Linked DNA regions of Caenorhabditis elegans. The protein of the gene in region 1 interacts with the protein of each later gene in a pairwise test. Each region holds a gene or a part of one and is shown on either strand. Other genes may lie near its edges. The genes, in order: pah-1, rps-10 and sax-7.

Evidence for each region.
Region 2: the proteins of pah-1 (region 1) and rps-10 interact in a two-hybrid assay, tested with the Caenorhabditis elegans proteins (2 studies listed by BioGRID).
Region 3: the proteins of pah-1 (region 1) and sax-7 interact in a two-hybrid assay, tested with the Caenorhabditis elegans proteins (one study listed by BioGRID).

Annotation. Positions count from the first base shown.
Region 1 is NC_003280.10:8,761,242-8,768,450, forward strand, and holds pah-1 (Phenylalanine-4-hydroxylase), read right to left. Parts: upstream 3,971-7,209; 5' UTR 3,831-3,970; coding exon 3,795-3,830; intron 3,700-3,794; coding exon 3,583-3,699; intron 3,175-3,582; coding exon 2,982-3,174; intron 2,930-2,981; coding exon 2,767-2,929; intron 2,655-2,766; coding exon 2,458-2,654; intron 2,408-2,457; coding exon 2,272-2,407; intron 2,097-2,271; coding exon 1,970-2,096; intron 1,926-1,969; coding exon 1,696-1,925; intron 1,651-1,695; coding exon 1,476-1,650; 3' UTR 1,381-1,475; downstream 1-1,380. Other genes in the region: nsph-1.1 (Nematode Specific Peptide family), read left to right, coding at 5,959-5,988, 6,056-6,214, 6,398-6,463, 6,593-6,862, 6,905-7,074. UniProt on the Caenorhabditis elegans protein: Catalyzes the hydroxylation of L-phenylalanine to L-tyrosine. Catalyzes the hydroxylation of tryptophan to 5-hydroxy-L-tryptophan. Plays a role in the biosynthesis of a melanin-like cuticle pigment.
Region 2 is NC_003279.8:4,582,658-4,588,191, reverse strand, and holds rps-10 (Plectin/eS10 N-terminal domain-containing protein), read left to right. Parts: upstream 1-3,686; 5' UTR 3,687-3,700; coding exon 3,701-3,844; intron 3,845-3,896; coding exon 3,897-4,083; intron 4,084-4,131; coding exon 4,132-4,250; 3' UTR 4,251-4,319; downstream 4,320-5,534. Other genes in the region: D1007.10 (Gustatory receptor), read right to left, coding at 74-247, 297-444, 1,333-1,617, 1,668-1,918; rpl-24 (Large ribosomal subunit protein eL24), read right to left, coding at 2,054-2,140, 2,393-2,602, 2,648-2,749, 2,971-3,051; tmem-39 (uncharacterized protein), read left to right, coding at 4,388-4,633, 4,684-4,767, 4,819-5,003, 5,475-5,534.
Region 3 is NC_003282.8:8,059,974-8,067,168, forward strand, and holds the start of sax-7 (Neuroglian), read left to right. Parts: upstream 1-2,685; 5' UTR 2,686-2,758; coding exon 2,759-2,807; intron 2,808-3,127; coding exon 3,128-3,305; intron 3,306-3,641; coding exon 3,642-3,718; intron 3,719-4,056; coding exon 4,057-4,349; intron 4,350-6,891; exon of another isoform or gene 6,892-7,128; coding exon of another isoform or gene 7,129-7,195.

The DNA.
Region 1 (7,209 bases):
ATTAACATAATTTAAAATGTTCGTGTTTTAGATATAATTTTGAGTTTTTTTAAAAATGTTTTTCATCTGATTCTGAAAAAAGTTTATTTGATAGACAAAAAAAACTATAAAAAGCTGACCGTCTTCCATTCCAAATATGAAAAATAATAAAATCGTGGGTCGAGGGAAAGAGGGAAAATATTCGATTGAGAATGCAAACAGTGTGCATGTTCACACAGCTGGCAGTACTATATGTTTCCAATTATTTTATTCTATCAAAATCATATTTTAATAGTGAAACAATTGGTTAAACAAAAGGATTACTCTTTGAAGATTTGCAAAAAATTAAACAAAAAATACACCCGAATGTATTATTTGGCCAATCTTTAAAGTAAAATAGATGGTACTTGTGTATTATTTCCCCTCATTTTTAAATTCCATATATTTATCCATTTTAATAAAACATGATGTTCATTTTCCCTCTTTACGGTTATTTCCTGGTTATGGTTAAAATATTAAAACTTATTTTTTAAAAATAAGGGAAATAATACACAAGTGCCAACTAGATACTAAAATTGGGAAAATTGATGTTTTGATTAAACACAAATTCAATTTAATTTCCAAAAAAAATGAATTGAAAAGGAGTTGAAAACGCATGCTTGTAATAATCATGATAAGAAAGGAAGACAACATAAGAAGAAAAAGAATTGATTAAATGTACGTGGAGCCGCACCTTTAAAATGATAACAAAGTGCACATACAAATGTTTCACTAGACCTCTACATTTGCATAACCTAGTTTTGAGAACTCAGTGCCAGTTTTTACTTCTTTTTGCAGATGAAGTCAAAAGCACTTCATTTTGGACACACAACGAGACTTCCGTACAACACACACACACACACAAAAACTAAACAATAATCAAAAATGCATGACAATTTATATGCACAGTTTTCGTTTTTCGCAGTTAGATCACTCACACCAAAACACTCGCTGTCGTAGATGACGTGGTTTTTGCAACAAAAATGGATAACTGGCTTTAATTTGGGAAACATTTTGGTGCTCACACCAATTTTTCGCACTTTTTTCATGTGATGCTTCAAATAAAGTAATTGCTGAAAAGGAAATCGTTTCAGATGCCGGAAAAATGTTGGAAAAATACGCGTTAATCCTGGCGAGAGAAAAAAAACAAAACAATTGGAAGTGAACAAGGCTTCGAATTGTTTATTTTCATTTCAGTGCATTGCTTCCAACGACGGTGAACACTATTTTTAATTAATTAGTTTTCACATTTCCCTGTTTTCAAGGAGTTAAGGGAATATGATATGTTTTTTAGAACAGTCATCATAGTTGTAACTCCATCGTAGGTAGTTTAAAAATCGTCTGTAAATCGAGCAGCATGGACAAATTTGTAATTGTTGTTCAGGTTTCTTTGTAATTCAACAAACATTGAGAACAATGTACATTTATTCTTGCAAATTAACAATTTAATCAAAAAGTCACTTCATCTTGAGATTGTTCACTTTTCCAAGAGCTTCTTCCAAAGTAGAAATATCACTTCTGATGTCTCTTGCGAGACGTTGAAGTGCTGCTACCTTGTCGAGAATTTCAACTCGTTGAGTGTAAGCATTATAACGAATTTGGAATGGACGATTGATGGTAGCTGCCCATGATCTGAAATTATCTAGATTACAGTTGAAACTGACTATTTGATCCTACTTAAGTTTGTTCTTAGCACTTGCAAATGATTCAGCTAAGAAATACTTTGGCTGATATTCTGTGATTGGATATTTGGTGACACAACATACAGCTGGATCAAAATCTACAACTTCCGGCTTATCACTCAACGCATATTGAAGCTCTCCAAATGAACTCAAAAGTCCGGCTCCGTAAGCTTTTTTCTCCCCATCTTGTTGACAGATTCCAAATTCGATTGTGAACCAGTAGAGCTAATATTTCAAAATAAAAAGGGGGTTTCAATGTTCAAACATACTGTGGCAAGTTTTTCAATAACATCATCTGGAGCTCCAAGAGAAGCAAGACCGATTTCCTGTGAGAATTGTGCAAATTCAACATCAGCAAATAGTGGAACATGTCCCAGAAGCTCGTGGCAGATATCTCTGAAAGTTACATCTCCAGCTTATTGTCAAAAATTCAGAATATATCCAGATGATAATCAACCGATTAGATTTTATTTTCCTTTTATGTTGCACTATAGAGTTTTCACAATTTTTTCAAAGCAAAAGTCGTTTACGAAATCCCACCCTCGGTTAAAATTATCATGTTCAAACTCACGGTTCAGGTGTGTATTTTGGAGCGGAATGATGGCGAATGTATTGTGTGGAATGAAAAACACGGAAGGCCAAACCAGCCAAGAAATCACGAGAAGAAAGAAGACCAGCGACTGGTCGAATCGTGTACCCGGTACAATCTGAACACGAAACAAATACAAAAACAATCAGATGATAATGATTTGTTTACCCTTCAAAAAATCTGAAACATCCTGCAATTGTGGAATGCGGTCAGGTCCAAAACCACAATTCTGCTGGAGGAGTGGGAATATGTAGTTGAACTCTTGGCAAGCGTTTTTCGGGTACATAACTGTCAGCTCGTTGTAGACTGTACGCCACGTGGCAATTTCTTCATCAGTGTAGGTGATAGTAGGGATCTTGTCTCCGCTGGAAAGTACGATCAGGTTGCAATTCGGATTTTTTGGATTTTATTCAGTACGCCTTCAATGTTACATATTTATTGGCACATATTGCTACTTTTGTTGATGAAATGACTTACTGTTTGAAGTTGAATGCAATATCGGCGAAAAACTTTCTGCGCTCGCGGTAGGTCATGTCCTTAAATCCAGGGTGATCGGCATCAAGCTCAGCTCCATAAGAAAGAATTCTGTTGGCAAATTGATCGATGTCGTTGATCTTCTGTGGGAACCATGGAACAGAATCTACAAAGCTCTTGAATTTAATACTGTGAGTTTCATTATTGTTATAGCGTACCCTTGTTTTGTTTGTTTTTGGTGTTCCAGTCTTGAACAAGAACCTTCTTTTCAGCTTTTTGTTGGAAATGCTCAATAACTCCTTCAATCTTACGATGGTCTTCAGCTTCAGCAAATTCAACGAGCACCTCATAGCATCCTTCATGAGTCTTTGATGGTCTTGATTCAATGTGAGACAGATTCACATCATGTGCCTGCAAGAATGTGTAATGAAGCATGTAATTGGTAGGAATTTGAGACAATTGATATGATCTCTTTTTCTCGTGACACGATTTTCGACATCTTTGATAATCAAAAATCGCGAACCGGATTAAAAAATGCAACTACGTAGTTTATCTCTTATCATATTTAGAAACAGTTTGGTGCAAATTTTCAAATTTTAATTTGATATAAATGTTTTTTCTATGTCTACTCAACCGTCTAAACATAATTGAAGATCATATTATTCAACGCTTTATGATGCATAAAATATTAAACCGCCTGATCAAGAGTAGACGTGAGAATCATAAGATTTAAAAAAAAAAGTGTCGCTGACGCAATAGTCATCCTCTGAAGTCTCATGATCCTCTGACATTTCTAGTCTGGTTTTTTTCATGACTAACCTGGAACAGCTTCAATGTTTCAGCGAGAGCTCCTGCCTTTTCACGAAGAGTGAATACGATAGTAGTCTTGCCAATGTCGGCGTTGACGTCAGCAACGTACGATTCCATGGCGTACTTCTGAAATAAGTTGGACTTTAGTAATTGGAAATAATTTTACACAAAATTCTCAAACAGAAGTTTTTCTTGATCAGTTCAAACAAGGAAGGTCTCACCAAGAAGTCAAGATCATCTTGTCCAGCTGGTGGCATTTTCAGAGAACAAGATTTGGTTTTCAGAGGAATAGACAGTCACCGGGAAATAAGAATTAAACAGAGACAAAACGTGAGCCGTACGTTGCCGTTTATACGAGACGAAATAGCTGGAGACTCAGAAGCCTAGAGATACAAGGCGTGGCCTATGAACTAGATAATTCGTGTGGCCCCCAATACCATTCTGCAGAGAAAAATCCACGTGGGAGGAGACTCGCGGCTACCCATACACAACCTACACGTGGGTTTTCATTAGAGTGTAGTGTGAGATAGAAGAACGGTTGGAAGAAATTGAAAAAAATACGAAGAAGAAGAAGAACAGTCAGATGATGAACTTGAAAGCACGTGGAAAATGATATGAAATAGATCACAGACAAATGGACGCCTGAACAATAAAAGATATGATTATGATCAATGAAATACAGTTTGAACTTCCAAAAGAAAGCATGCCCCAGTGGATCTTCTTCGTAAAATAGATGTAAATCTCTGTTTCTAGTTGAGTTGAAATTTAAGACGTTGGGTATGAATTGGATTGTAGGCCTTTTCAGGCGTATGTGCTTACATACAGTCATTTTTCAATTTCAATTAATTGATGAAGCTTAAATATGGATAGTGGAATGTTTCATTTTTTCACGATGCTGAAAAAGGGGAAACTGAAACAGGTTTTTTTTGTTGAGTAAATTTACCGAATTTGGAGTCTTACGACTGCCTTGTGACGAGCCTCGTTCAAAACTTTTTTTCAACTTCCTCAAATTTCTCGAATTTTAGTTTTTGACCTTAAACAGACATTTCAATGGTTTTGATTGAAGAAAAAACCAAGTTTTCTTTGAAACGATCAAATGGGTTACGGTAAAAGCCATAAAATCATGGTGTATCGAATCGAAAGTAGGAGGGGGACGCTGAGAAAAATCAACAGAACACAATAATGAAAACTGGTTGACGCATCCTTTGTATTGTGAAAAGGAAGGAAAATGAGATGAGATGAAGACGTGGAATATTTAGATGGAAATATATAGGAGGACGTTTGGTTGAATGTCTGACATTTTAGGATGATAAATTTAGAAGAAAGAAATTTATATGAATGGATGAGACAAGACGATGTCATAAATCAGTTTGAAAACGGCAGAAACGATCAATAGTTGATGATGTCCGACTGGCTTTTATCAACTTTTCGTGAAAATTTTCGTTTGCAACGCGAATCTTCTGCAGACCATGATCTGAGATGTCTATGTCAATGAGGTAAATAGGAACAGTAATACAGCATTGAAACAATTAATTTAGTCGATGGTTGATCATAAAAAATGGAGAAATTTTGAAAATACTCGTGTACGAGATCAACTGATCAGCGACGGTTTCGATGAAAACAGGGGAAAATATAAGGATGATAACACTTTTGAAGATAGCAAAATATTTTGGTTCAAACAGTTTTTAATTAATTGAAATTATTTAACAATTTTCTAATAGTATGATAACAAATTCTATAATTTTTTTTAATAATTTCCGTAGTTTTGACCAAATTTTTGTTTAGATTGTAACTTCCACGGATATCACGTATACTTTGGCAATAGAGGCTGGCATAGGCCGCCTGGTAGGACTTTGTATTTATGTATTTTCAGCTGTTACCCTCTTTTTGAAAAATTAAAGTATGGCCGAAAAAAAGTATTTTTAAAATATTCAAAATTAGCAAATTGATTTTTTTTTTCAGATAATTTGGCAAACATCAGTTTCTTATTACAAATGCAAATGTTTGACGTTGGACTAGTATAAATAAAGAGCTCGATGTACAAAAATTATATCATAATATTGAGAAAAATGGATCAAACATACCTTTCTAATTTCATCAATATTCATCCTTATATAGCTGGACTCAACAGACCAATAATATAACTGATGGAATGTACGAAAAAGGAAAAGGAAGGAGGTACTGCCGGGATAATCATCAGTTTACGTTATCATCTTATATCTTGAATGCACCGAGTCGCGTGGAAGATATCCAATCTGACCTTCCATTTTTATCTATATTTTAAATAAATTTAAATAAACTTGTTCAGCAGAAAACTCGTTATTACGTGAACCAGATAGAAAAAAATGGTCGGAACAGTGAAATCAAATCAGTTTTAAATTTTTAATGGATAGGAAAGGGTTCACAATGGAAAAGGTGAGTGGCTTTCAGTTATTTGATGGCTATTGCACGCATTCAAACATTCTGCAAGTGATTTATTCAGGGAAACATAGACGATATTTGGACATTACAAAAAGTTGGCACACCTTTTCCACCAAATGTTGCAAAAGCTCCTGGTGAGACAAATAAGTACGTCGCATTATGGTATAAACACGGAAAACCAGTGATGGGCAGAGCTTGGAACGATTCTGGAGTGGTGAAGGTAAACTGGAAAAATAACTATTCAGAAATTAAAAATAGACTTCCAATTATTTGAACTTGCAAGTATGCAAGTTCGCCTGCATAAAAGGTAACTTACAAGCGGTATTAAAATATTAAAATACAAAAAAATATGGAGAGCCACCACGAAGTTTTGATTCCTTGGCCAATCAATCCAATTTTACAGGGAATTTTACCAACGGTAGATATGTGCTCTGGAAAGCTGGATCGATTTGCCAAGTTTCAACTCATCGTTTGTTGCATATTTGCTATTGATATGTTAGGCTCACTTGATATTTTAGGGAAAATTTTCCTTTAAAAAATAAACTAGGAAATTCTAAGACTATATAATAAAAAATATCCATTTAATCCAACTTTTCAGTGCATGTTTGTTCTCGATGATAAGATATATAGTGGAGCAGATGTCGGAGGAAGCATTCAATTACTTATTCTCGATCATATTGAAAAATCAAAATCATTTCATTATGATTGGGTAAACTTCAAAAAAGCACAAAGTTTGACAATTGAAGGAAAATATGAAATGGTTCGATGTGAATACAGTGCATCAATGTATTGGCCGGAGCATGGACTATTAGGATGCGTGAACACAGAGAAGCTTGTCGCACATTTTGTTGATAACGAAATGCAAATTGTTGGTTTTTTATTTAAACGCTTATTTCATCTATTAGTTCAGAAAACCACCAAAAAGTTGGAACATCTTTTGGTTCTGTGTAAGATTGCTGGATCAAGAGACGCGACTGAAAAAGAAAAGGAAAAGGGTTCCACTGGAAGTGCTTCAAAGTTATTGACAGTCGTCAACGATTGGGAGGATTTCAATTGGGGAAGTGCGTGGCCATCCAATAAGTGAGTAGCTTTATATTTGCCTATTTATTAACATTTTCTAGGTTTTTAATTTTATATTTTGTACAAAAGGTTTTCTTTCTCTGAGCATTTCTGTGAAATTCTTTTTCATCTTAGTAGCTACAGAATTTTGCATCA
Region 2 (5,534 bases), on another chromosome or scaffold:
TTTTTGCCAAAAAAACCACAACCCTGATTCAGATTTGATAGTTATTCTGTCTCCCGTTTCCTTGCAGAATTACCTCCAAAAACAAAATAGCTGCATAATTAAAGTGAATAAACATGAAGCTAAGTCCAGCGGCTCCAAAAAGTATTGCAGCGAGTGCTGCGATAGAATTCATCGTGAAAAATTGCACAAGAAACACGGCTTGGCCTCGTATTCTAGTTTTTAACGGCCTTTGAACTAGATGTATCGTCTGAAAATGAACTGAATTAAAAAACATTTTGTTTTTCTTTTTCTGAAACCTTGACATATCGACTGAAAATTGTGTTCGTTGCCACGTGGCAGATTGCAATGAAACAGTACCAACAAGCGAATAATGTCAAATCGGTGCATCGAGAACGAAGGGCAAAAGTATCACGAACGTATTCACCGAAGTCGATGTAGTGTTTACTGAAATGGAAATATTTACCGATTTATTTACACTTTAAATATTACGGGAACACTAAATTCTGAAAATGCACATTACACAACGTATTCGACGCGACACAGTCTCCTCCAGTGGAAATCGGTTTGTTGGCGCACTTCTCGTGCATCGCGTGCAAAATTGAGAAATTACCGAAAACGTTTCAATTTACTGTTTTTCTTCATATTTTTCATAATATAAGCCTTGGTGGAAGATTACTTTTCAAATGAACATCAAATTCCACTAGAAAAATGATGATAAATATACGAAATATGAGAAAAACTCAATTTTTAGCGGTTTTTTCTTTTTATATCAGCGCTTTTATTTTTGAACCAAAATCAAAAATCTTTTTTTTCCACCTTGCCCTTAATTAGCTTTACAATTGATACGTAATTAAAAAGTTTGAAATCGATTTTAAACCCGTGAAAACTGAAGGAAATCACTTTTCAACGGTAAAATTTTCCCACGCTCACGAGAAACGCGCAAGCCCCCTTGTTGGGTCATTTCCACGTGAGAAGGCTGTGCGCGAAAATATTTTGTAGCGAAAACTACAGTAACTATTTAAATGACTACTGTAGCGTTTATGTCGATTTACGGGCTCGGGTTTCGACATGAGTAAAAATCGTTTTTTTTTAATTTACAGAATATTAAAACTTAGCAAAAAAAACTTATTACGAAGAAACGAAGGAAAGTAGAATATCGATGTCACAATTCGGAAAGAAATTCACTTCGAAAATCGACACAAGCACTACAGTAGTGATTTAAAGAATAACTGTAGTTTTCGTTACGAGGTATTTGCGCGTCAAATATGTTGCACACTACGAATTCTCAGAATTTTGTGTTCCCGGAATAACTTTATTTTGTCTGAAACTAACTTATCCGTCTGTGCAAACGGTGGAACTATGCAAAAGCACAGTACTGCGAGCTTTTCTTGTGTAAACTCTCTGATGCATCTCGCCCATTCAACAGATTCCGCATCTTCCAGCTGATTCAGCACTGACAATCTTTTAATGAGATTTCCCATTCTTCGAATCACCAGAAACCAGATCACTGTTAAACAGAATACCATAAAGCATGCACACATCACAAATCGTTTCACGAGAAGAGCTTCATCGATCACGTGCAGAAAAGGAACTTGTTCGCTTAGAAATCGAGTGAGACTGAATTTTTGAAACCATATTATCCTTTTTAATAAGTCCAGAAAACTAACTATCTTTTGCTGAAAAATGTAGTGAATTTTGCTTTCAAAATATCAAGATCTAAAGAGTCGTTTCGAACTAAAAGCCCACGATTCCTATTGCTGACGGTGACATCACATAGTTCATCGGAGTTGATGATCCCCTCGAGAGAATCCGAATTTAAATTCCTTATGTCTATCGGAATTTCTTCAATCAGTCGGTACATATAAATGGCGAACCCAACAGTAAGAACACTGTACTGGGCTATTCGAAGAGTCCTCATTCTAAACAAACTCAAATGAACAGATTCGGATAGTTCTGTTAAAATAATAATTTGAGAATACTTTTCTTGTTGGATGTCTTGCATTAAAACTTTAACGGTCAACAAAATTTATTACAATAACGGGACCGAGAACGTTTATCGCTTTCCTCCGACACGTGGAGCAGCAGTCTTCACATTCTTGGCGGTCTTTTGCTGGGTCTTTGGCTGAGAGGCCTTCTTTTCCTGAAAACCAATGATAAAGAATTGACAAAATTAACTTGTTTTTAAATTTCATGCATATGGTAAATTGTCGGACTTCACACGAGACATGCTTATTGATATTACAGCTTCAAATAACTTGAAGCAATAATACCAACACATGGCAATTGTGCCCGTCCTTTGCTTTTGCAATACTTCAACACTCGTAAAATCACATATACCTTACAAGCTCTAACAGCATGCTAAAGTTTATAATAAATATTGTAGAAAGTTTACCTTGTTGGCAGCAGCCTTGGCGGCACGGACAGCCTTGTTGGCATCCTTGGCGATCTTAGCGGCTTGTTCACGCTGTTGGCGACGGAAGTCTTCGGTCTGGTTTCTCTTGGCAAGGATAGCATCAAGGGAAAGTCCAGCGACGGCGCGGTTAACAACCTGGACGGACTTCTTGGTCTTCTTTCTGGTGACTTGCTCTTGTCCGTGGGTTCCCTGTAAAATTACCAATTTTCAACTGCGTTTAAGGATCTCAAGTACCTTCTTGTTCTTGATTCTGTAGAGGACAGTCCATCTGATGTCACGTGGGTTACGGCGAAGCTTGGCTCCCTTGAGTGCCTTTCCACTGAGGAAGATTTGGACCTGAAATTTGAATAAATAAATCATGAAACGGTAGTTTGTCGCACTCAACACGTGGCATGCTTAACGATGGTATAACTTCTAAAAACTAGAAGATATAGCACCAACACATACATAAGGTGATTATGCTTTACTTTTGCAATACTTCAACACTCGTAAAATTACAATATACCTTACGAGCTCTAACAGCATGCTAACGCCTTTCAAAGAGAAACTGAACTCACCTTTCCGTCAGTACGGACAAGTCTCTTTCCGTGTCCTGGGTGGATCTTGTATCCGGAGTAAACGCAGGTTTCGACCTTCATTGTTGATAGGCCCTCGCTTGACGAATCTGAATTTCAACATTTTTGAGATAAATTTAGGATAAAGTAAAATCAACGACAATTATCAAGGATCTGTTTGTAGCTTATAAAAATAACGAATTTAATTTCCAATAATCAATTATTCCCAAAATTAAAACATTCGTGAACAAGGAGTTGGGATAGGCCTCGAAAAAAAAACGAAAAAATTCTTTCCTCTCTTCAAAACTCCTCTAATGCAAAAGATAGGGGCGCTACGCAGCAAGAGTACGGTAACACTCGTTTCGGCTGTGCGAATTTAACCAAAATCACTTGTTTCTCTGTGTCGCTGCGTGTGTGCCCCTATGTAATGCATTAGTCGGAAGAATTTCGTTGTACCTCTTTTCTTTCAATTTTTTTTTCCAAAATCCCGTTTCTTTGAAAATTTAGTGACTTATTGTGTTAAAAAAGTGAAAATTTATACTCTAATAAGCAATCAATCCTGAATTTCCAGGTGGAATTCTGTTGAGTCCCAAAAATAATGCATCTCAATCGATTTTTCTTGTTTCTGCCCTACTTTTGAAGATTCCTCCAATCGCCAAAAAATCTCTTCCTATTTCGTAAAAAATTGTGCATTGTTATAAATTGTGTATTTGTTTCAGAACTTGCGGTCATCATGTTCATCCCGAAAAGCCACACCAAGCTCATCTATGAGTACCTCTTCAACGAGGGAGTGACTGTCGCCAAGAAAGACTTCAATGCCAAGACTCACCCAAACATCGAGGGAGTTTCCAACCTTGAGGTCATCAAGACTTTGAAGGTGAGTTATTTTTCCCATAATTAAAAAAATCAATAATCTATTGTGATTACAGTCTCTTGCCTCCCGCGAGTTGGTTAAGGAGCAATTTGCCTGGCGCCACTACTACTGGTACTTGACCGACGCCGGAATCTTGTACCTCCGTGAGTACCTCGCTCTTCCAGCTGAGATCGTCCCAGCCACCATCAAGACCAAGCCAAGAGAGATCCGTGTCCCACACGAGGATAGAGCCCCACGCGCCGGTAAGTTTTGTCCTACAAGTACTTTTATTGATTGCTGAAAATATTCAGCTCAAGGCGAGAAGGGAGACCGTGAAGCCTACAGAACCGAGAAGGTCACCGAGGCTGGACCAGGAGGAGCCCCAGTCTACAGAGCCGGATTCGGCCGTGGAGCCCCACCACCACAATAAATGTTATTGTTTTTCTAATGAAATTGTTACATCAAAAGTTGAATTAATACAATAAACAAAACGGTGAATTTTCCATCAACAAGTACATTGTCACTCTGCCTAGAATCGTAATACATTTTGTGGAATTTAAGTAAGATATGCCGCCTCGAAGACGAGTGCCGGCACCTCCACCACAAGCTCCTTCCGTGCCAGCTTCAATCCCAAGAGCGAGTGGTGTAACGCTTTCCGTCCATCCTATATGGCCGGATATTCAGTTCACACAAGGAGAGCTATTTTTCGAATGCACTTTGTTTTTATATTCAGTATTGGCTTTATTTTTACAATATCTGAATATATACAAAACTCTTTGGTGGCTTCCGAAGTCGTATTGGCATTATTCACTTGTAAGTGTGAAAAAGGATAACAGGAAATTCAATATGTCCATTATTTTCAGAAATTCCATCTCATAAATCCATATTTCCTGTCATGTGTTGGCCTTTTACTTGGCTGGAGGGTAACCGTCTGTTTCTGGAAAACGGTAATGCCTTACATTTATTAAAATAGAAATCAATAATAAAGAATTGTGCAGATAACTGAAGTGATCGCCACAATATCCGCCAACCAGTCGCAGTTTATTCAGTCGAGCCTGATGATTGTAGAATATGCAGCAATTAAAACACCAGTGATGACACTGATCATTACGAGCTTCCTTTTCAGTTTTAATCGAGTCTGTCACGATTTTCCGAGTAGATCTGTGCTTTGGTTTTTATTTCCGTAAGTTGTCGGATTTTTGCAAATACACAGTCAAATTGACCTATTGCGCCATCTTGTTTCAGCATTTTTTATTAGAAATTAGTGTCAAAGTATAGAAAATCACTTTGTTTAAATATATTAAAATATAATTTATTTCAGTTTAAACAAAGAAATGCTTAAAAATGACCTGAAAATTGCAAATTTGTCGATTATCGAATTATCGAGCATTGTTTTTAGGCAATTGACAAGTTTCAGGACATTTTTGTGCATTTTTTGAGATGCTTACATTTAAATGAATGATATTTTAAAATAAATAAAGTGATTCTCTATTCTAATGAAAGCTTTTGGAACAAAATGGCGCAATTGGTCATTTTGGATAATCCAAACATCGATAAAAAGACCAATTAATCCAACTCATAGAAAAGTTAATAAAGAATCGATAAAATTCAACTTATTTAATAAATTATTTAATATTTAATAAATTTGTTTCAGAATCTTATTCTACGCCTTCATTTTCCGATCTGAAATCATCGGATGGCTCGGACGGTTCCG
Region 3 (7,195 bases), on another chromosome or scaffold:
CATTTTATGAAAAATTCAGTTTTCAAAATGATCCACTAACTTGTCCTGTTAAATTTAAGATTTCTTACTATTAGGAACAAATGTCAGAGTTTGTCAAAAATATTTGGCCTTTTTCTTTCAGTTAACATTTTTCATTTTTTGAAAAAAAAAATAGGAATGAGTCATACTTTTTCGGTTCAAATAACTCCTCCCACCGTTCATTCGACCACTCGCTTCACTGTTTTCATAATTTATTATTCTCTCCTCTCATTCATTTATCACTAAAAGCCACGAGTCATGGGATTTTTACTAATTTTCAGATAATATTCAGAAATACTAGGATGCCTTAAGTCTCTTGTAGTCTTGTACGTAATGTTCAATTGATTTGTTCAGGTCACAGAACTAACTTTTTAAAACAAGCCTGAAGGGCTTCCAATGTCCATCACAGTTAGAAAGTATTATTATAGTGTTACAAACGTTCATTTGAAACTTGTCTGCGTCTCACAAATGTTTCAAACTTACTTATGCTCGTGGAAGAGGTTTGCAACCTTCTCACGGCCATTCTTCCATTTTGTTAATGGAGGGAGACTGAAATCTCGTGAAGAATTTTTTTTTTATTTAACGAGAAAGTTAAAGAAAACAATTTTTAAAATTTCTGAAAAATATCATGCGTCTCACAGGGAAAAGATGTGAAAGATCTGTTGATTCGAAGAGGTGTAAAAAGAAATCCCGAAATTCATACTGTTAATCCAAAAACCAAAAAATGGCTATAAATTTCTGTAAGACTGTTATTTTTTTTATCTTGATAGGATTATCGTGATGGGTGGCAGCATCAATTCATCTGTGACGATTCGGGTGTTCGTCTTCTGTCCTTTTTGTTTTATTACCGTCCCGACCGACCGCTGTAGAAAACGGAAGATACCCTCTTTTTCCCCTACCCATCCTTATATTGATACATCTAAAGCGTGCCTTCTCATTTCTCTATAGCAACTTTATTTAATAATTCATTCTTTTTGATGTTCACTGCTGTTGAAGCTACTCTCTATGTTCTGCTTGATCTGCTCATCGTGGCGGTGTTCATGAAAGCAAGATTGATGTGTTATGAATAATGAGGAAAAGAGAGTGAACTGCCAAATCCAAATTTTATGAATTTGGAGAAATAACCAGACCTCTTTTGGCTCAGAGACACACTCATTTTACGACCTTCTTCCGTGACATATAGAGAGTAATGCGGACGAAAGGATTTCGAGAAATCTGTCCGATCGACTTAGCACAATGCTCCGGAAGTATATAGTCTGTGGTGTCACAGGTTTTTTTTTCGCATCAAAAATTTCATGTCTCCAAGTCGATGAAACTGAATTGTATTTTTTTATTTTAGAAATAATTTTTTTAAAAAAAATTTTTAAATCGCGTTATCCAAAGAAAAAACGAATAATTCAATAGAGAAACTAGGCTTGATCGAAAGGTAGACCAGAAATTTTGCAATCGTTTCGAGACCCGAGCATGTGCGCTCTGTTGCGCGCCTTTGCTACAGTACTTGCATTTGTTTTGTTTCGCCGCCAAAACGATTTTTAACGAAAACTCTGAATTTTCTCTGTTTTTCTAGTGTTTTTACTTGTAAAACTACAAAATTTATTAGTCTAAAAGTAAATTAAAACATCTGAAAGTCGTTTTCGATTCGAAATAACGTTTAAATCACATTTTCCGTTAAAAACCTGATCATGTTCCCGTTTTGAATGTTTCAGACGCGCTGTGTTGAAAATTTAGCTTTTTTCGGATAAAAATCACCTATTTTCTGTCGTAAATGATTTGTGGCCCAGAATCTTTGAAGTCTTGTTATTCTTTTACCCACGCATCCATACGTCTCATAGGTGACATCTCGTGCGTAGAACATTTTGAGCAACAAAAATCGAGTAGCGTGACGCGAACGCATTTTTCTTTTTTCCTTTTCTTTCCTGAAAACGTCCTTGAAGAACGGCCGCTTCTGAAGAATGGAGCAGCTCTCGTTCTGATTGCAAAAAAAAACGAGACAACCGGTAAAGTACAATGCCATCGGCTACCGCCATGCGCAGATTGCGTCGGTTCTGTGTGTGTGTGTGTGTGTGTGTGTGTGGACTGTCAACGAATACATCTATCACCCCCGTTGACTTCTCCTCATGCCCTTCTTTTCTCATCTTGCATTCCATTTTTTCCACCTTATGTTTTTGTCTGTACTTTTTTAAAAATAACTTTTTTTGTTGATAATTTTCGAAACTTTTTTCTCTTAATTTTATTTTCGTAATGAATCAAACAACAGATTTAATTTCTTATTCTCATCGTTAATCCAACGTGCTTCCTCATGGTCACTTTTCGGTCAGCGGGGTAGATTCCCATGAATTCTCGCTTTTTTTCATTTGCATAATCGGGAAAAGGAGAAACCTAGACAAAATAAGAAGTTCTTTATTTCATTCTTCTGATTTTAAAGTCTTTCGTTTATTTTCCGGTTTTAATGTAATCCCAATTTTCGAAATTTTAAAGATGAATCAGATTTTGTACGAGAATAGTTTCATTTGCACAAGTAGTAGTACAATTATTTTCTTGAAAATTGAGGGAAGATTCTATTTTTTCAAACTAATTCATGTTTGTTTAATTCTTAACGTTTCCTTTTTTTTCATTTCTCGTTGTTTTTTCTCCGAACTTCTCTCAAAATTCTTCGCAAGCTTTATTCCAATTTCAGGATAGAAAAAGAGTATCGAACGAAGTTCGACGCGATTCTAGATCACGTCGAAAGACCACCATCATGAGGAGCTTCATATTCCTCTTGTTACTCACTGGCCACATATCATCAGGTGAGAATTCTTTTGACGTCGAGGACATCATATCGCTTCGAAAATTGTTTGATTGGCGATTCATGTTGACATATTTGATTGCAACATCATTTTACGCCCTTTTTTGTTGTTTTTTAATGGCAAAAATGAAAATAAATATGGAATCAAGATATTCAAAGCCTTTTTATAGAAAAAAATTGTAAATAAATAATATTGAGAAAAACGCTGAAAAGCATTTGATGTGCTCAAATTTATGAACAAAAAACAAATATTTCTATAACAGAAACAATTGTCAAATATCCATATATATGTAGCAACATTTCTAATAAAAACTGTTTCAGGCAGCATAGATTGGTCAGCGATCGAAACTCCTCCACAATTTGTTCACGATAAGAATGCAGATACCGTTTACTTTAAAGTCGAAAAAAGTGGAATGAGTGATGAATCGGCGAAAAATACGCCCGGTAATCTGCTCGAACAAACGATTCATTGCTATGCAAATGGAAATCCAAGGCCTTCGTAAGTTTTTTGTAATGTTTCTGAAAAAGTAAAATTTAGAAAAAAAAATGAATCTTCAAATATCTTAAAATAATTTTTATTGAAAATTAGACTTGCATGCAATACTAATTGGGAAAGATACGGTAGTTTCTATCTAAATTTGAAAAAAAATTCGAAGTCTTTTTACTGCTTCTAAAATTGCTTTAAAATCCTTTTGGCAGTTTTGGTGGAGCATTAAAAAATTTGAAAATTCAACATTATGCTCTACGAACAGTTTCCATTTGCATTTTTATTTTTCAACTTCCAGAATTAAAAAGTGTTCAAAATATGTTTTTTATACTATTTTCTTTATTACAGATATCGTTGGAAAAAGGATGGTAAGACGTTCCTGCCGTCCATGTTTCCGGAGAAAGTTGTTCAGAAACCAGGAGAAGGTGAATATTTTTTGTTGTTGTAAAAATCTAAAATTGAGAGAATATGGAACATTTTTGAAATTAAAAAGATGGAGTAACTGAATAGTTAAATGTTTGTTTCAAATTATTATTCTGATTTGAAAAAAGTTCACTTCATTTAAATATAAACAAATTTGTTTTATTTTTGTGCAATTATAAAACTCCCACATGCAGGAAAAACAGGAAAACAGTTTTTCCTCAAATCCAAAAAAAATCGAAATTTTCGGTTAGGCCTAAAAACCGAGAAATATTGATTTCTCATTAAAAAAAAGTTCGGTTTTTCAGAAAACCTGTTCTGAAATAAATATGACATTTTCCAGGAAGCCTTGTGTTCTCCCGTCTTGATGAATCTGATGCCGGATTATATCAATGTGAAGCTGAAAATTCGAATGGAACAGCTGTTGATCGTCCTGTCCGTGTACAAGAAACATGGATTCGTCATTTCAAAACTGCGGAACCAGAAGTTGTAGTTGTCGAAGTTGGAGATCCGTACCAAAGAAATTGTTCTCCACCTGCTAGTAATCCATACGCAAGAGTTTATTGGATTCTTATGGGAAAAGAACCGGGACATTTCGAAACTATCAGTAGTAGTCATATTTCTAGCAATGAACAAGTGAGTGATAACAGTTTTTTTTTTCATTCTTTTTACAGATCGTTTCTCGTAACCTCATTGTGCCAAGAAAACTTTTCTCATTCACTCCCTGTTCTTTGTAAACCAAAATCAAACAATTTTCATAGAATTGAACGATTTTTGGAGAAAGATTGAAGAAAAAACTATTCAGTGCTTCTGGCTGTATCGTATTCAATTTTTCGAAAAAAAAATAACTAGACGAATAATCTCTGCGATTAAGTTTCAAATTTGCTGCTCGTTCCAATCTTCAAATACTAAAGAAAACTTCAATTTCCATGTATTTTTTTTCAATTAAAATCAAATCAAACAGAAGTTTTTAAAGTGTTTCGATTCTATATTTTGAAATTGTAACTCGTGGATGATTTCGACGATTCTCGTTTTTAAAGCCAATTCGAAAACTACTTTCCCATTTTCCCAAGCCAAATTGATTTTTTTTGACAACATCTAAAGCATTTTTGTTTCGTTCTCACGAAAAGTACGTTTGAAAATATAGCATATGATGGTCAGCTTTAAACACTTATTTCGACGAATTGATAATTTATCCGACAAATATGCAATCAAATTATATTTTTACATTTGGCATTTTTATGCTAAAATTTCCTGTTGTTAAGTTGGTATCTGTTTCTAGTGTACGTACTAACAATTAGGTCCTTCTGTCGATTCTTGCCTTCTATTCATACATCATACCAATATACATCGCCCTTCTCACTATTATTATATTCTATGTCCAAATTCTATTGTAACCCCTATAATACAGACCCTTTTCCCGACGTCTCCATCAGATGAATAAGTTTTTTTTTGCGTTACAACAACACCTGTCCACTTCTATTTGTACCTTTCCGCCACCATTTTTCCGTTGCGTAATTCAGTAGTTTGCAACATTTTTTCCGTTGTTATTACGTCTCCATCGCAATTAGTTAGACATACCCCCGGAGGTTGAAGGATGAGAAATGACCTTCTGAAGTTTAACCAGTTGAAATGAGAATATTTTGAAGTGGATAGAAAGACATTAGCTGCTCCTAAGAAGTAACCCTTTGAGCTTTATCCTCCATTCACACATTGTGAAAAGTGGCCTCACATAATATGAACGAAGATGATGATACTGGTGTGAACCTATTTGGAGAGGAGAGAACGGGAATGAGAGAAACGAAGAAAAAACAGATTAGCTGCTGTTAAGTGGTGGTTTTGTCGTCTTAATTTGATTGAAATTTTTTGACGAGACCTTTCAATTGTCTCCATTTTTTTGTTTTAAATGATGAAAAAGCTTACTTTTTTAGCGAATCAAAAAGCAGTTGTTTTTGTATGCTTTTAAAAATAGTTTTTATATTAGTCTTGCACTTTTACGAAACTCACCGCCTGAACTTTGAATAATAAAAATAATTTATTTTTGAACAATCAAATAAAAATCTTAAACGGAAATATGGTACGCAAAAATTAATACGCAAAACTTTGCGATTTTTTAGCCAAAAATACGGTACCAAAATGGGCGTGGTTTTAAATTTTTTTTTTTGATAGCCAAATATTTATTTATTAAAAAACTCAAAAAGATTTATAACATTTTAATTTCAAAAAATCGAGAAAAAAAAAGAAAAATCGAAGAAAATTGTAGAAATTACAGTGCTCTTTATAGGCACACGCCTGGATGTATTAAAAAAAATTGGCGTGTCGAGACTGACTACCGTATTTTAGTTTTCTATATTTTTTCTGTTTAATAACAAGTCTGTTCTCAAGACGTTATATTTTCAAAATGTGCCAAAAATGTGAATTTTTCAACAAAAAACCACACTCGCCCAAGCTTTTTCTATATTTCCGTTCCAGAAAAATGCATGACTTGAAATGTTTTTGTAGTCAAACAACAAAAAGCAATCAGACAGTATTCTGCTTTCTTCGTGCTACAAAATAGAAAAATGTGATGGTGTAGATGAAGTGAATCTTGTTTTTCTTTCAATTTCGCGCTGTTTTTTTTCTAAAATTCTTCATCTATTTCGTAGTATATGAAGCTTTTTGTACGATCCGGATTAGTGTCGTAATTGAAGCCCTTGGTGTGGCGGCGCCTTGACGGATGCACTTCTTCATTCACTTTTTCCTCTTCCTTTCACCTTTCCTGACTTTATACCGATTATGAGTTGAGTGACCACTGCCACCACCACCACCAACATAGCCATTATAATCTTCTTTTGCTCTTTTCTCTTTTCAATGCTTCACCGATTCTTCTTCTTCAGCTTCTCCTTGTGCTTCGTCTCTAGGTAATTCCCCATTGGGTTGACGACGACGGCAAGGAAAGGAAGGCGTAGAAGAAAAGGAGGGAAGCGTCATTTTGGGTGCTCGTGCGGCGCTTTTGGTGCTTCTCTGGTGGTAGCGATGGTGTAGATGGTGGTAGAAGGAGGCGTTACCCATGAGATGAAAGAAGGAGGAGTGCGCAGAGAAAATGAGCGTGAAATTCAGAGAAAATAGGAGGAAGAGATGAAGTGAAGAGAGACATAGAAATACACACAAATACGAGTGCTGTGTTTGGGGCAAGTGAGAGATAGGAAAGAGAGAAAGAGATCTACTGCTGCTGGTTGCTGCTGCTACTGCTGCCAGTGCTGTGCCTCTTCGCCTTCTCACTACTGCCAGAGCCCCCGTCTCAACTACCCGCCTTACTTGTCCCATCACGTCTCCCCCGTTTCGGGTATCTCTTTTTTCCATTGAAACTGTTTTTGATGCTTTTCTAGACAGTCTATGATATTCAGCTAATAAACCCCTTTTCAACATCATCACAATGGGGTTACGAGAGACGATGGGTCGTGGTGGACCACCGAATACCACAACCTTCATATTCCTGCTAG